Linked DNA regions of Neurospora crassa OR74A. The protein of the gene in region 1 purifies or fractionates together with the protein of each later gene. This does not show direct contact. Links are inferred from orthologs where the notes say so. Each region holds a gene or a part of one and is shown in the gene's direction. Other genes may lie near its edges.

Region 1 (8,106 bases):
TAGACGAGTGTGTGGGCTTGACGATCAACCAGCTCGTGCTGTCGAATCTCGTCTTGATGACGAGAGCAGACAACCTACCTACCTAGGTAAGCCTTCATTCAACTGCGAGATTGAACTCGGTACTCTGGCATTACATGAAAAATGGTTCTGTCGTACCTACTTAGTGCCCAGGCTGTTTTCCACTAATGCGTGGCTAGTACTGTACTGGAATATAGTGTATAGATCAACCCTTAAAACTATTTGTTGGCGCGCGAGGTCCCACTGGGTGGCTCACACATGCACCAAAACTTGTTGACTCCATTCACAGCGGCCAAAACAAACCTGTGTCCAGACAATAAAGTAGCCATACAGTCATGAGACTGTAGAGCATGAGGTTATATGGCGAAGCAGCAACCCGTTTCATGTTCCACTGAGTTTTACTAGTGTTTGAAGACTGTCAACCAAGCTTTGGCGTGGTTGTTACTACCTACGTTAGGTGCTCCTTATCAAGCAGTGAGACCGAGTGTTGTTTGATGTAGGGTAGGTACCTCTTAAAACAGTGCCAACCCTTTGTTCAAACTAAACTGATATTATGCTTCGCCTTCTATGATGTCTAACTGACCAGAAACACCCTAATGGCGCCTAGTTTTTCTATAATTGGTATCAAATACACGACAAAATCACCATTCTACTCTTTACCTAAACCCATTGCGACTAACCCCAACACCGTCTATTATACAGCTGAGCGCACCTTTTAAGCAGTGGTCTCTCCGACCTCAGTTGACGCGACAACCTTTGGCTTTTCCTCTTCCTTCTTCTCCTCCACAGGCACCGCCGCCGGTGTGGGCTCTGGAATAGCAGCAGCCTCGGGAGCCGGGGCTGGCGCCTCGTCGTGAGCCTCCGTTGCCACTGGTACGGAAGCAGTAACAGGGGGAGGAGCAAGAGCAGTCTCGGAAGCAAGAGCAGGCTCGGGAGCAAGAATGGTCTCGGGCTCAGCAGCCGGCGCAGGCGCAGATGCGGCAGGAGTGGGCTCAGGAGCAGAGGTGGCAGCGGCAATAGGACCAGCAACGCCAACCTGAGCATGCCCAGTGATGAAATCCTCCAGCTCGCCAATCTGCTGACCACCGGCAACCCAGCGCTGGTACTTGGCCTCCCGCTTCTCGACGCACATCTTCTGCAGGGCGGGCCAGTAGGTGGCATGGTCGTAGTCGAACTCAAGAGAGCCGTTGAACTCGGTCCAGAGCTGCTCGGCGGGGACGTACTTCTTCATGTCCTCGTTGAACTTGAGCTTCTCGCGGGTGTTGGGGTCGATAAAGGGAGTGATGAGTTTGAAGAAGCCGTTGACAATCCAGGGAACTGTGGTTGGTCAGTTTTCTGGGTGTTCGTCAGACATTAAGCATTGCACATACCATTAATAATGAGAGCGCGCCCGAGTCTCTCGGGGTAGTGGTTCTGAAGGATGTTGAGGACTTCGCGAGCCTGACCGATGCCAGGAGCCGTGTTGGACCTGGACTTGCTCGACTTGAAGTTGATGAGCAGAGACAGAGTCTCAACCTGGGGCGGCATAAGGTCGATAACGCGCTCGAGCATGAAGACGAGGTGCTGAACTTGGCGAGGAGAGGCCTCGGTGTTCTGGCGGCCAGGGTTCAGGTAATGGCAGACGCGGCCCTCCTTGTCGTAGCCCAAGATGATCTGCTTGCCGGTCTCGTTTTCGGGCGAGATGTGATCCGCAGTCAACTCCTCGACGCCGTACTCTCTCCTCCACGTGAGCGTGCCCAGGATGCGTTTCTCAGCCTCCTTTTGATTCCATTTTGTTGCGCGCAGAAAGCGGAGGAGACATTCCCGAGTCAACCAGAACTTCTCTCTATCGGTGATGGGACCGGCCTTGCCCTCAGTCGCAGGGACTTCCTTCCAGTTTTTGACTTGTTCGAGCAACCAGTTGTACTTTTCCTCCTGGTCAGCCGTAAGCGCCGCTTGGGGCTTGGGCTGGCTGTCAGGGGTAGGGGAAGCCAGAGGGACCTTGAGGACAGTGGCCATTTTGAGCGAGCGACGTGGTAAAGAATTTGGGAATTAAAGAGAGTAGAGTGAGCAAGATCAGAAAATGCAGGAAAAAACGGAACGAGACGTAGGAGGTTGGCTTAGAAAAAGAAAGTTGAGATACGTTGAAGTGGAAGTGCAGTGGAATTGGACGATGCCATGAGCCCAATCTCAAGCGACCGACGATGTGTCAGCCGCAACCAAACAGATTAGGGGCTTTGATTGCTGGCCTCAGGGCAGATCGCTTCGATGATCACGGAAATTGGCGAATGTCTTTCCGTCTGGACCGAAGCAAAGCCAAGACTTGCTTGGAAGCAAGATGTAGAAGATTTGTATTTCACCATTGAAAATATGTGCTGGCTTGACGGAATTGGTGACAAACCCAACATGTCAATCTTCTCGAGTTTTGATGAAGCAGTGCACCTGCTTGATGGACATTTTGCTGCCCCTGCGTTCACTTTGAAGAGTTTGGACAATCCGTCTGCAACTTGCAAGTACGTCTTAAACTTGCAGCAAAGCGCTTTCCGGATTGTGGAGCTAGGGAAGCCGCCGCGCACCAGCCACAGATCCCCTGAGCTACAGCGCCGCTGCGTCACACCCTCGGGCCACAAGGACCACCCCTGCCAATTGGATTAGCGTGTTTTCGCGTTAATTGATTTCTACGGCGCGGTCAGCACCACAATGGCGCGTCCTGTGAATGTGTAGTGGTGGTTCCCCTCCGTGATCATATTCGTGATACCGAATTGTTTGTTTGTTTGTTTGTTCATTGTGCCACTCAAGCTGCGACCACACAACTCGAACCGCTATTTGTTGCAACTTCAAGTAGGGACGGGACTGCATCGACTAAATCTGTCAAACATCACGAGCACCGAAGAGAAGAACGAGGCGCAAACATCACCTGCCATTGCGATCATGGCCGATCCAGTCGTGGCCGAGCTCAACGAGCGCTTCGGCACTGCCAACACCGAGCTCTCTCCAGATGTCATATATGAGCTCCAGTCGATTATGCGCCTGCACGAACTCGACGTTCAAGACATGTTCTTCAAGTGGGAGTCGTACTGCATCAAGATGGACATGGACCAGCCCAAGATGTCCATGTCCACTGTTCGCAAGTTCAAGCAGGACCTACAAGACACACTAGAACGAGCAAACCGAGCTCAGGCGTTGGAGCAAGTCAAGACCGAAAAGCGACCGGGAGGAACACCAAGGCCAGGAGCGAGGAACAATAGCGATGTGTTTGGTATGCTTGATGGACTCACAACACCGGCAGCTCGACGGGCAGCAAAGCTTGGTTCGGCTAGGAAAACACCAATGGGGACTCCCATCGGCTCCCGCTTGAAGAATGAGCCCGTAAGCTCGCCGATGAAGCTGGAGGCACAACTAGATGCCATGGGCGTGATTCCGTATGTCCAGACCAGTTCCCTGCATACGTACTGTATGTACCTTGCTAACCGTTCCAAGACCATCTTCTTTCAAAGATAGACCAAACGCCGGCGAAGTGATCGAAATCCTCAACGAAAATCTCCCTGCGCCCGAACCACCCATCGCTCCCTTCGGCGAGTCCCGCATCAAACTTACTGCCGCCTCCGATCTGAAGAAATTGGGCTACAAGCCACTAGCAATGAAGCTTTCTGAAGCATCCGAGATCTTGGACGACAGGATAGACGACTTTACAAGTTTGGTTCTGGAACATTACAAGTTGGACGAGTCGGTATTCGGCAGCGCGGCTATGCAGAGTACCACAGAGATCGTGGCAGTCGGGCGTGTCGCCTCTGATACGTCCGAGGGCAAGCTCAACGCCGCTTCCCTCGTGTTAGAAACCTCCAGAAAGTTGGGCGGCGGTTTCCGGGTACCCCTAAACGTCAGCAAGCTCAAGGGTTACCAGTTCTTCCCCGGACAGATCGTCGCACTACGCGGAACCAATACCACGGGGCGTGAGTTCACCGTCAACGAAGTCATACGCATGCCTCTCATGGGCAATGCTGCCTCCACACTAGAGACCATGGCAGCACACCGTGAGAGGCTACGCGGCGGTCCGGACGCCATGGACACCGACGACGAAAACCCCATGCCTCTTAACGTCATCTTTGCCTCTGGCCCCTACACCGCCGACGACAACCTCGACTTCGAGCCCCTCCACACTTTCATCAACGAAGCAGCAGACACCTATGCCGACGCCGTCATCCTCACCGGCCCCTTCATCGACGCCGAGCACCCCCTCATTGCATCAGGCGACTTCGACCTCCCCGAGGAAGCCGTCTACGACCCTGACGCTGCAACTCTGAACACTGTCTTCAAGTATCTCATCTCGCCCGCGCTGAACCGACTCGTGTCCGCCAATCCGCACGTCACCATCCTGCTCGTTCCCTCGGTTCGCGACGTAATCGACCGCCACGTCTCTTGGCCGCAAGACCCCTTCCCCCGCAAGGAGCTCGGCCTGCACAAGAGCATCAAGATCCTTGGCAACCCAATGACGCTCAGCCTCAACGAGACGTTGGTGGGGATCAGCAGTCAGGATGCGCTGTGGGAGCTCAAGCATGAGGAGCTGATTGGCGGCACGGTGGAGGATACCAATGGCTTGTCGAGGGTGGCGAGGTATCTGATCGAGCAGAGGCATTATTTCCCGCTGTTTCCGCCGACGGATCGGACGAAGCTGCCCAAGACGGGGAGACAGGTGATTGATGGGCAGGCTGCGCCGGGCGCCATGCTGGATATCAGTTATTTGAAGTTGGGCGAGATGGTTAATGTGCGTCCGGATGTGTTGATTGTGCCGAGCGCGTTGCCGCCTTTCGCCAAGGTATGTTTTTTTTTTGTTGTGTTGCTGAATTTGCTTTTCATCCTGGGAATGCGTGCAGTTACTGACTTTCTTGTCTAGGTCATTGAAAGTGTGTTGGTCATCAACCCCGGGTATCTATCACAACGCAAGCGAGCCGGTACATATGCCAGGATGACACTGTATCCGCCAAAACTGTCGGAGGCGGATGCTGCGCCAGGTGGGATGCTTGCCCATAGGATCTTTGAGAGGGCAAGAGTCGAGGTCACCAGGATTTAAACTTAATCTCGAAGTTCTGGGTTTGGTAGACATGTCTTGATGATGTGAAAATTTGGAGGTATAAATCTGGTTTCCATGTATTTGTATTCGGCATTGGCATGAGGATAGGTATAACCAGGTGGTTTGGCGTCGGGATGAAAAAGAGTTTGCACATTCACCTTGACGATACAACAGTATTAATGTGAGAAGTTCTTGCATGAGCCGACGAGGCCGCAGGTAGGCAAGACATGGACTACCTAGTATCCACCTTTCTTCGCTTGTCGCTCTCATACCGGTCCCGCTCTCTGGATGGTGACCGTTTCCTCCGCTCGCCGTGGTCGCGATCACGATCACGTCTTGGAGACGGCGACCGGCGCCTCTCCCTGTAATCATCATCCCGACGTCTGTCACGGTCCCGATCCCGATCCCGGTGACGGTCCCTGTCTCCGTCCCTGTCACGGTAACGGTCCCGAGAATGGTCTCTACCACGGTTGCGATCTCTATCGCCTCCCCTATACCGATCCTCACCACGCGGCCTGTCATCACCCCTTGACCTCTCCGGGGCGCTCTTCCGATCACCCAACGGAATGGCATTCGAGCCCTTCGGCCCATCACCACCCCTATCCCTGTACCGATCCCTATGAGAGTCATCAGGCTGGAACCTTTCATCTCCAAACCTGTCAAACTCCCTCCCTGGCCTGTTGTCATGCAGGCGGCCCCACTGTCCCGTATCTTCACTCTTGAGGTCTCTGTACTTGGTGGCGCCCTTTCTTCCCAGCTTGGTCATATCTCTCAGCTGCAGCGCCTTGGGCAACAGCTCCCGGTTCTTAACATCGTCCGCAAACCTCGCGCCCATAATGTCTCGCTTGTCCAGTCCCATCTCCTTGCTCTCATCCTGGTAGAAAGCACCCTTGTGAAAGTACTTTTGCATGTATGCCATCTTGCCTTTGCCCTCTTTCTCTTCCTTCTGCTGCTGCAGGTGTTTTTCATCTTCGGCGCGACGTTCTTCTTCCGTGAGGTTCCGTCGGCGCTCGATCTCTGCGAGTTCCTTCTCCTTGGCTTCGATAGCCTCGCGCTCGCGCCGGACGCGCTTCAGCTCACGCAGTTTCCAGGCAGCGTATTCGGCTTCGGGGTCAATGTCATCCGTGTCGTCGATTTGGTCGTCTTCTGGGTCGGTGTCGTCGTCCCAGTGCTTCTTGCCAGCGGCGCGGGCGGCAAGGTCTTTCTTGATTTGCTCTTCGACAAGCTCGTCGGCGGCGCGGCGGCGGGCTTCTGCGGCAGCTGCTTCGTCTTCTTCGGGTGTCGATTTCTTGTTTGTCGAGGCGGAGTTGGATGCGGTTACTCCAGCTTCGCGGTCGGCCTTTCGAATGAACTTTGGTCGCAGCATCAACCGCCTTGGTGCTTCCTCTTCTTCTTCTGAGCTCTCTTCCTCTTCCGACTCTTCTTCCTCGTTGCCACTTTCCTCTTCCTCTTCGTCTTCCTCCTCTGTCACGAACCCTTCCTCTCTTGCTTTCTGTTCGGCCGCAATGCGCGCCTTCGCAGCTGCCTCCCGTCGCTTTTTCTCTTCTTCTTCGTTGTCTGGGGCGTTGCTGCCTATTCCGGCGGCTTTCAAGTTGATCTTGCCATCGTTGCCACGACTGATGATTCGGCCAGGACCTGCTGCATTGGCAAACTTGGGCGCTGGCGCTTTCCGCGTGGAAGGCTTCTTGGGGGCTTCCTCCTCGTCTTCGGGAACGTTGTCGGATTCGGATTCGGAGTCGACACCGGTGGGCTTGCCGGCGCGGTAGCGCGGTGCCTTGACCGGGTTGGCCGTCATGCTCTTAGCTGGCGGCATGACGGGCGTGGCTGTGGACGTGTAAAGCTGATATCTGGATGGCAATGCAAGGCTGAATGATCAAGTACAGGTGGCGAACCTTAAGGACGGGCGGAATGGCGTTCAAAATGAAATGCTGGGAAATGCAACTTTCATGTCCGGGTGTAATGATGAAATTACAGTGCAACGTCACGTAGTACGATACGTGCAGTAAATTTTGTGACGCGGCAAGTGGACCTCGCAGCGGGTGTGTTTGGTTCCCGCTGCCCGGCAGGGCCACGACCCGCCGTAGCGATCGAATGCCCCGCATGACAGCCCTGTGTGTCTGTGTTCGGGTGTTTTTTGGTCTGTGCTTTCCGACTTGCAGCGACGCGACGAACGGAACACTTAACTCTTAGGACAGGAAGGGGGCTCCAAGACTTACAGAAAGTGCCTATCCAGGTACCTAGAAGGAAGTGAATGATGCCAATTGGAAAAGCAACAAGATATTGAGGAAGGTACATAGCTCAACCAAGACAGGAAGAAAGTCCTGGAAGCAGGGTTGGGGACGAAGCATCCGGCGTGTAGTACCTATTTCCTATGTATATATTGGCCTCCCCAGCTGTTGTTTGGCCCGTTCGTGTTCACCCAATCACTGCAGGCATCCCCGCCTTTCTACCTCTATAAGTTCCCTTCTTCTCCCCCCCCCCCCCCCCCCCGACTTTTGTCCTCTGCTTAGGCTTCACTTTTCCTCATTCGACACGCTCGCTCTCTTGCCAGTCTCCGCATCCCGCGGACTGCACAACATCAGCGACATTTCAGCAACACGGTCTTCTTTCCTCCTCCGACCTCCGTTGTCTCATATGTCATCGTCCTGTAATTCATGAGGCCCACAACCGCATGATCAAACCTCACTGTCCTGAGCATATCTGCCTCCTCTTCCTGCCCATGAGGTTTTCGTTCAGGCATTCTTCCTTGATGACATCGCCTTGAGGCTCGGTTCTCTTCCCAGTAAGGCTTCGTTATCAGCACCGCAGCGCGTGTCATCGACTCTGGTCAGGTCCGAGGACAGGTCCGTCATCAAGGCGATCCAGTCAAGGTCATCGCAGACTCTTCCACTATCGTATGTCTGCTCTCATACCGCACATCATTCGTTTTGGCTTGAAACTGACCTCGGTCTCACACGCAGATCAATGCTGTGAAAATCGAGTACCTGGTAGCTGAGCACAGTAACGGATCGCTCGACAAGCTGGTTTCTCTTTGTCGA
Region 2 (7,571 bases), about 440 kb from region 1:
AAAACTACGACAAGTATCTCCGAAAGCTCAAAGGGGCAGCAGGAGAAGTTTGGGTTGAGGAGATGGAGGAGGCGTATCGGCTAGGTCAAAGAAATTCCAGTCGGGTATTTCCTCGTTGCATGGGCTGACGATATCTCGCAAGGGGTCACGCAACGGCTCTTATTTTATTTTCCTCGACTTTCAGTTCTAGAAGTTCGCGGACCTCTTTGGGTTGCATGTGAGTGATGCAACTAAGTCGTTGCGGCAGGCAGCGCATCATTCCACTACATCCCATTGGTCAATCGGCATCCGCCTCTGCCCGGTCAACGATGGATCCATAACCCCGCCATCTTTCTCCGGCAGGCAGCAAAGCTCCATGTGCTGACGAGTCTCACCACGGCAGGCCATTGAGGCCGCTCACGGTACATCCACATTTCGCCTGCACCCAAAGGAACCTCCAACAACTCAGCCTCTTCAACTTCTTAGCTTCGTACCAACAGAGAGACTTGTCATTCGGCCTTTCGAGCAATACTATTACTTGATTTTCGCCCTACTTACCGACCACTTATCATTCATGGACATTCCAAGCCACGAGCCAAGGCATCATGTGGCTTATATGGTTCTTGAAAGCCATCGATCGATGGAATTGCTGTTGGTTTAGGAAGCGTTCGGTGATCTGATCTGATGGGTTCAATCTATCTACGTCCGCACTGACCATTCATCACCTTATCGCAGAGTCAACAAACTTCCCCTTTCGTTCAGGAGCTGAACATCGAAGGCCATGAGCGCAGACAGAACTTTATGAACCTTTTTCACATGTTCTCTTACTTTGTTCCCAAACATTCATTCCTCTTCGACGCCCCTTCGACGCACTTTGGTGGGCTAGAATTGGGATTCGCCATCGGAGATCCGAACGCGCACAGGACCCTGCTGAGCCTGTAAGACTTGGCCGCCAATCACGTTCCTCGGTTCCCTCTGTAAGCGCCCTCGTCCCGCGCTTGCACTTATTGCTCCATGGCCCCATGAAGACAAGACGGCGCTCTTCCCTTCCTGTCATCTTCAAGGCCCATTGATTGGGCACTTCATCTTCTCCATACACCCTGAAGCTTGAATTAGAAAGCAGCCCGCACCACAGCCGCTATGGCGGACGCGCAACGAGAGGCCATCTGGGGCACTGTTCAGTCAGTCCCCTGCTACACTAGGGTAGAGCTGCTCAGGTACCAGTGGCACCCTTCAATACAAATGAGTCTGGACGCCGACTTGACGTCCGCGCCAGATGCTCTTTTCTCCGATCCCTTAACTTTTTCTCCCCCGTTTTCTGACTGTGAATCTGTTTGAACCTCTCTTCTTTTGAACCGGCTTCTCACCATAGCTATCTCCATTCTCTGCTGGTGGTCTCACAAACTCGGGCAACACAAGTGATCTGCAGTCAGCTTCTTTTATAAGTGCGGGGAATCCCTCGAGTTTACTCCAAAAGTTCCCATCGAGACTTGGCGAGGTTCATCAAGACAAGGACCATTCCTTTAACAAGCTCAAAACTATCTGGGAAAGGATTCCTGTGTTCGAGAAAAACAAACAATCAATATGTCTTACTATCCTCGTGAGTATAATACGCTCTTCAGTTTGTTATTGTTATATGATAAAGCTAACAAGTATGTCAGCACCTCCTGGAGCATCCGGTGCTGCAGGTATGTTCCAATGTTGAAAAGCGGATGGAACAGTTGATACTGACGAGGACAACAGCCCCTGCTCAACACAGCTACCCACCTCCTCCCATGTCTGCTCCTCCAACCCAGACAAAGTTCTCTTACCCATCTCCTCCGACCACCCAGCAGCAAGGAAGGCATTATCCTCCTCCTCCTCAGTCCGCCGGCTCGTCTGCCACGCCGCCGCCCAAGTCATCCACTCCTTCGTACCCCTTTCCTCCTCAGCAGCAGCAGCAGCAGCAGCAACAGTATCAACAACCACCACAACAACAATTCTCCCCACCACCGGCCCAGCAATTTTCCCCACCACCGACTCAACAACACCAGCAATATGCGCCACCACCAGCCCAGCAGCAAGTGCAGCAACCGCAGCCTCAATACGCGGCTCCCCCAGCCCAGCAGCAACATGCTCCAACCGCCCTCCCTCTGCACATGAGGACCGATTCCAGCGCGTCCCGAACTTCTGCCCACACCCCTCCTCCTCAGCAACAGTTTGCCGCTCCTCCGCCGTATGCTCAAGGCGAGCAGCAGCCCCAGCAGCAGCAGCAGCCAGCACCCACACAACCGGTTGGTCTGGGGTTGAGCACTTCGGCAGCGGCTGCCATTACTGGTGCACCCGCCGCCGGACAGTTTTCCGGTGTAGGTGCGGTGTCGGATGACGTGGGAACGTTCAATGGTGGCAGTTACCGTATCAGCCATCGGGATTGCAATACTATTTTGACTGTGCAGTTGGCGATCGGTTGCCCGTTGGATGCTAAGCCGGGTATGCTTTCTCTCTTGAAATTCACTCCATAGGTGTATCCAAACGAGTGTGTACTTGGCTAACAGTCTCTATCTTATTCTCGCACAGGATCAATGATCGCCATGTCCCCCTCCATGTCCCTCAAGGGAGCCTACAAGTTTGGCTTGAAGAAACTTGTTGCCGGCGGCGAGATGGGCAGCTCGACTTACACCGGTCCGGGTGAGTTGCTTTTGGCCCCTGCCATGCTCGGCGATATCACGAGTCTCCGCCTGGATGGCTCCCAGACCTGGTCTGTCAGCCACGATGGATACCTTGCTTCGACGCAGAACGTCACCAAGGACTATAAGCGCCAGGGACTGGGAAAGGCCATGTTCTCTGGTGAGGGATTGTGGGTGTACAAGATTAGTGGCACGGGGCTGTTGTGGCTGACGAGTTTTGGTGCCATTGTTCGGAAAGATGTGAGTTATCAGTTGTCTGAAGTCCGAGTGGAAGGGTGCGGGTTGCTAACAGAGGAGACAGCTGGCGGACGGCGAGAAGTACATTGTTGACAACGGCCACTTGGTCGCATGGAATACCAAGTACGTTCTGGAACGTGTTGCTTCCGGCGGCTTACTATCGGGCTTCGCTTCTGGCGAAGGACTGGTGTGCAAATTCACTGGCCCTGGAACAATATTCATCCAGACAAGGAATGCGGTTTGTCAAACCCCACACCAGCTTGATACGTTTGGACATGACATAAACTAACTTTTATAAAGACTGCCTTTAGTGCGTTTATGACCGGTCAAACAGCAAAGGCCTAGAGCTGGATTAGGATGTAGGAGTCGTACGGGAGAGTGATACCTGTGGCGGTCGCATTTGAGGCTGTGAACCTCGCATCACTTGATGTCCTTTCATTCTGTTTATTTTGAGTTTGTTAGCGATGTCATGTCGGCTTTGAGATGTGTTCGGGAATAGTTAAAATGTCAGTATCAGTGAACCATGAGCCTCTTGTCCTGTCCTTAGACTAGAAGCTTGACAGCTTCGTTTCCGCTTGGCAACCTATCGATCCGCCATGAATGAGGTTTGGGAAACAGGCGACATAGGCCTGGCTCTCCAAACAATGATACGAGAAGATCCCACCGGGAAAAGACAGACTGAGAAACTTTGAACAGTGGAAAGAAAGTCCAAGTTTGCGAGTAAAAGGGTCTTCGGTGACCGGCTGGCTTTCTAGGGTTAGGGTCAAAGCAGCATCGCGCCCAACTTCACGGACAAAATTACGCCTGTGATTGGCCAGCTTTTTAATTGATTTTGTAAGAGCTGCGCGTCAAGGTAACTTTAGACGCGTCTCCCAGACCAACATCATCCCCAGTCCACGGCTTCCAACCGACAACCTCCCACGTCAGAAAGCCAGGAGGACAGTCCTACCAAGTCTCCATCATGCTACGATCAAACGTCAGTCGCATCGACCCCAAAAGGCGAAACGTCCTCGACCACCGCAAGAAACAATTCGCAGAAGCCGCCTACAAGGACACCGATTATCCCCATCGGCTCAACTTCTACTCGACCCCTCCAACAGCCGACATCACCATTGAGCAGTTTGAACAATGGGCCATCGACAGGTTACGAAGTATGTATCATACCACGCTCATATCTCAGTGATCTACAATACTGGGCGTGCCTCTAAACGCTAATCAACCTCTTTCTTATCATAATCCAGTCCTCGCCGAACTCGAAGCATGCTCCTTCCGTAACAAAACCCCCGCCGAGACGGCCTCGCACATGAAACCTTTACTCGACAAGTACCTCCCGCTCGACACCAACAGCTCCTCCTCCTCCCAGCTCTTCGCCCAGCGGCAAAAAGACCACTACAGCCACTTCATCCTTCGTCTCGCTTTTGCGTCCACGGAGGACCTCCGACGCCGCTTCACCCGCGTCGAAACCATGTTATTTCGCATGCGCCTGAACGCCGACGACGGTCGCGAGCGCGCGGCTTTTATAAACTCGCTTAATCTCGACTGGGAGACTGTTTCGGACGAAGAGAAGCGCGAACTAGCTGCCGAGTTGGCAGCGACTGCCTCCTTCGGCGGCTACAAAAAGGGACAACAGCAGCAGCAGCAATACGAAGAAGACCAACAAACATGGTGCAAAGTCTCGTGGCTGCGCGTCCCCGAGCTGGTCGAACAGCGGCGCGTCTTTCTCCGACAAGGCTACGCCTACGTTCCCGCGCGCGAACAGCAAGCGATGGTCGTTTCGGAATTCTCGTCCCGGCTGGAACGACAGCTCGAGTTAACCGCCCGGGCCCTTCCCCGACTAGACGAAGACGACCGCTTGACGCCCATCCTGGCACACTTGTCCAAGAACTTTATCACGCCCGACGCTTCGTACGTAGGTACTTCATCCGCCATCTCCTCGGCGGATATCTCAGCCAGAAACATCGACACGCTGGTGAACAACCACCATTTCCCCGCTTGCATGTCCCATTTGCATCGCACCCTGCGGCGGGACGCGCACTTGAAGCACTACGGTCGTCTCCAGTACACCCTCTTTCTGAAGGGCATCGGCCTCAACCTCGAAGAATGCTTGCTATTTTGGCGACAGAGTTTCAACAAAATCACCGACGACACGTTCAACAAGGAGTACCGGTACAACGTGCGACACACGTACGGCGACGTGGGCGGCGACAGCAATCGGCGCGGCGGCGGTTACTCGCCATATTCGTGCCAAAAGATTCTCACAGAACATCCTCCCGGACCGGGCGAGGCGCACGGGTGTCCGTACAGACACTTTAACATGGAGAATCTGCAGACGCTGTTGCAGCAGGGGATGGGGGTGACGGATCGCGGGGTGTTGAATGGGGTCAAGGAGGATAAGGAGAAGCAAAAGTTTCATATGGCTTGCAATCGGTATGTTTCTCCCCGCCGCCTTGCTGCTGCTACTCTCTTGACGCTGCTGGACTTGAGCAGTGAATTAACGCTGATGTGGGATACAACCCAGGGTATTCGAACATCTTCACAAGGAAGAACTCAAAAAGGCCAAGGATGAGGGTATCATGACTGCGGCGCAGCTTGAGACTATTGTCCACCCCAACGAGTACTTCAAGCGGAGTTACTTGCTGAAGAATATGGGCAAGATGCAAGGGGATGTCAAGATGGAGGGTTGAAGATACCATGCATGGTTGATGCGGACGAGCTTGAAAAGAGGTTCGATGTGGAAATATGGATGGGCATGGGATGTGGGACCCGGGTTTCTTTCTGTTGTAGTATTTTCTGGCGTTCAGGCGACATAGCGACGACATGACACTCGTACAAGTTCACCCACACACACATGTATGGGATATGATTTGATGAACATCATTAACTTGATCATATTCAACATGTAGATTTATGGTTCTGACATGCTATCCCATACCACGAGTACAGCAGACACCAAAAGAACTAGGCAACACATCACAGGTAATCAAAAGGTGAACAGAAAGTGGTGAGAAATGGGTATCAATTGTTTATTCTTTCTACTGCGGCAATGGCTTCCTGAAGCGACCTTGCAACCAGCAGCGGTACATCTTCAGCTTCTTTGCCCGGTTGACGAGCAATCTACGATCGACACCAAGGTCCTCAATCACGAAGCGGATGTCAGGCTCAGAAGCGTCCTCGACCTCACTGTCCTTGGTAAACAGCTTGCCCGACCAAATATCGGCCAGCTCGTCTTTCTCAAAGAAGTAGACGCGAGTGCCATCACCACGAATGTAGAAGTTCTCGTCCAGATAACGACCCTTCTTGAAGCGGACCTGAGCCAAGTCTCCTCTTCCATAGTCACGGAAGCACACTTCACCGCCGGGCTTGAGCACACGGTAGACATTCTCGACGGCCTTCTTCCACTGCAACGGGGACAATGCAGAGAAGATAAACACCATGAGGGCGACGTCCACCGAGTTCTCATCAAGGTGAGGGGGCAGCTCGTCGCCGGCCACGTCCCACACATCGGCCTGCATCTGGTCCGTGTTGTAGGCCTCGTGCGAGCGCATGACCTCGACGGCCTTCTTGGAGAAATCACAGGCGTGGATCTTCAGTTCGGGGTTCTTGTTCTTGGACAGGATGGGGAAGGCCGTGTTGCCCGCGCCAGCTCCTATTTCGAGGAGGGTGCAGGGGCCGTATCCCTCAGAGGTGACCTTGTCCAAGATAGGGAACTCCTGCTGAAGCCACTTGCGATCCTTGAAAAAGTTGGCGGTGTTATTCTTGTAGAACTGGTTCCACCACTTTGCAGGGTCCGAGTTGAACCGGTCTGTTGCAGGCAAGTTGAGTTAGCAGACTGCTCCAAGGTCTGGATGTGGTAGCAACTTGGTGTTTGTTTGAAACAGAACCCAATGGTAAAGGGCAAAATCAGATGGGAGCGAAAGACTATAAAATACGTAGTTGTCTTCATGAATAATTCAGATGAACTATGCTTATGATTGTAAATCATCACGGAAGCCCAAGAGAGAGGTGCAATGGGTATGAACCCCTCTCTTAGCGTGAACCATTGGGGAGAGCGAGGTGTGAAAGATGGACGAGTGGCTACTTACGCTTATCAAAGTCCGAGACGGGCGCATTGCGCTGCATCTCGTACTGCTGTTCAGCATACTCCTTGTATGCGTCATCAGTCTCGACATGATCCCACGCGTTGAACTCAAAGACGTCATCCTGCTCCTGCAGATAGCGAGATCCGAACTGAAACGGGTCGCTGCGCTTTTGGTTGAACTGGGGATCGTGGGACCGGTGGGGAGGCTGCTGTTCCTCCTGCTGCTGCTCAGGCTGCTGTTTCTCCTCGGCTATTTCGAGCTTGGAGATCTGGGCAGCGAGCTGCTGCTCGGGCTGTTGTTGTTGTTGTTGTTCATCGACGACAACCTGTGCCTCGGTAGAGGCGACAGGAGCGACGACGCCATTCGATGCCATGGCGAAGGACAATGTTGGAGGATCCTGGTTAGTGCACTGGTAAAAAGATGCAGCTAACAATCACCACTGGTCATTGAATGGCACTGGCTTTGTTGAAAGGTTGACGCAGCATATCGTGCTGGTTCTTGAACCGCGGAGGGAACGAAGAATGAAGAGACGGAGAGGAGAGGAGGGGGAAAAGATTTGCAAATTCCGAAACGAGGAAAAGTACAAAAAATGGTCCAGAGCCTGTGGAGC

The links. Proteins that work in one complex are often made in the same cells at the same time.
Region 2: the proteins of NCU03597 (region 1) and NCU04646 purify together in Saccharomyces cerevisiae (affinity purification with mass spectrometry; 3 studies listed by BioGRID). This does not show direct contact. The link is inferred for Neurospora crassa OR74A from reciprocal best matches to the Saccharomyces cerevisiae genes POL12 and PRI2.

What each region holds. Positions count from the first base shown.
Region 1 is NC_026505.1:1,789,000-1,797,105, forward strand, and holds NCU03597 (DNA polymerase alpha/primase associated subunit), read left to right. Parts: upstream 1-2,687; 5' UTR 2,688-2,928; coding exon 2,929-3,419; intron 3,420-3,477; coding exon 3,478-4,813; intron 4,814-4,891; coding exon 4,892-5,068; 3' UTR 5,069-5,300; coding exon of another isoform or gene 5,301-6,881; 3' UTR 6,882-7,022; downstream 7,023-8,106. Other genes in the region: NCU03596 (CRAL/TRIO domain-containing protein), read right to left, coding at 734-1,335, 1,389-2,016; NCU03598 (microfibril-associated protein), read right to left, coding at 5,301-6,881. UniProt on the Saccharomyces cerevisiae protein: Non-catalytic component of DNA polymerase alpha, which in a complex with DNA primase (DNA polymerase alpha:primase) constitutes a replicative polymerase.
Region 2 is NC_026505.1:1,346,384-1,353,954, reverse strand, and holds NCU04646 (DNA primase large subunit), read left to right. Parts: upstream 1-3,753; 5' UTR 3,754-3,843; coding exon 3,844-4,033; intron 4,034-4,123; coding exon 4,124-5,309; intron 5,310-5,400; coding exon 5,401-5,566; 3' UTR 5,567-5,792; downstream 5,793-7,571. Other genes in the region: NCU04645 (DUF124 domain-containing protein), read left to right, coding at 1,564-1,579, 1,641-1,667, 1,723-2,448, 2,536-2,885, 2,947-3,120, 3,183-3,227; NCU04647 (actin binding protein), read right to left, coding at 5,915-6,684, 6,965-7,334. UniProt on the Saccharomyces cerevisiae protein: DNA primase is the polymerase that synthesizes small RNA primers for the Okazaki fragments made during discontinuous DNA replication. In a complex with DNA polymerase alpha (DNA polymerase alpha:primase) constitutes a replicative polymerase.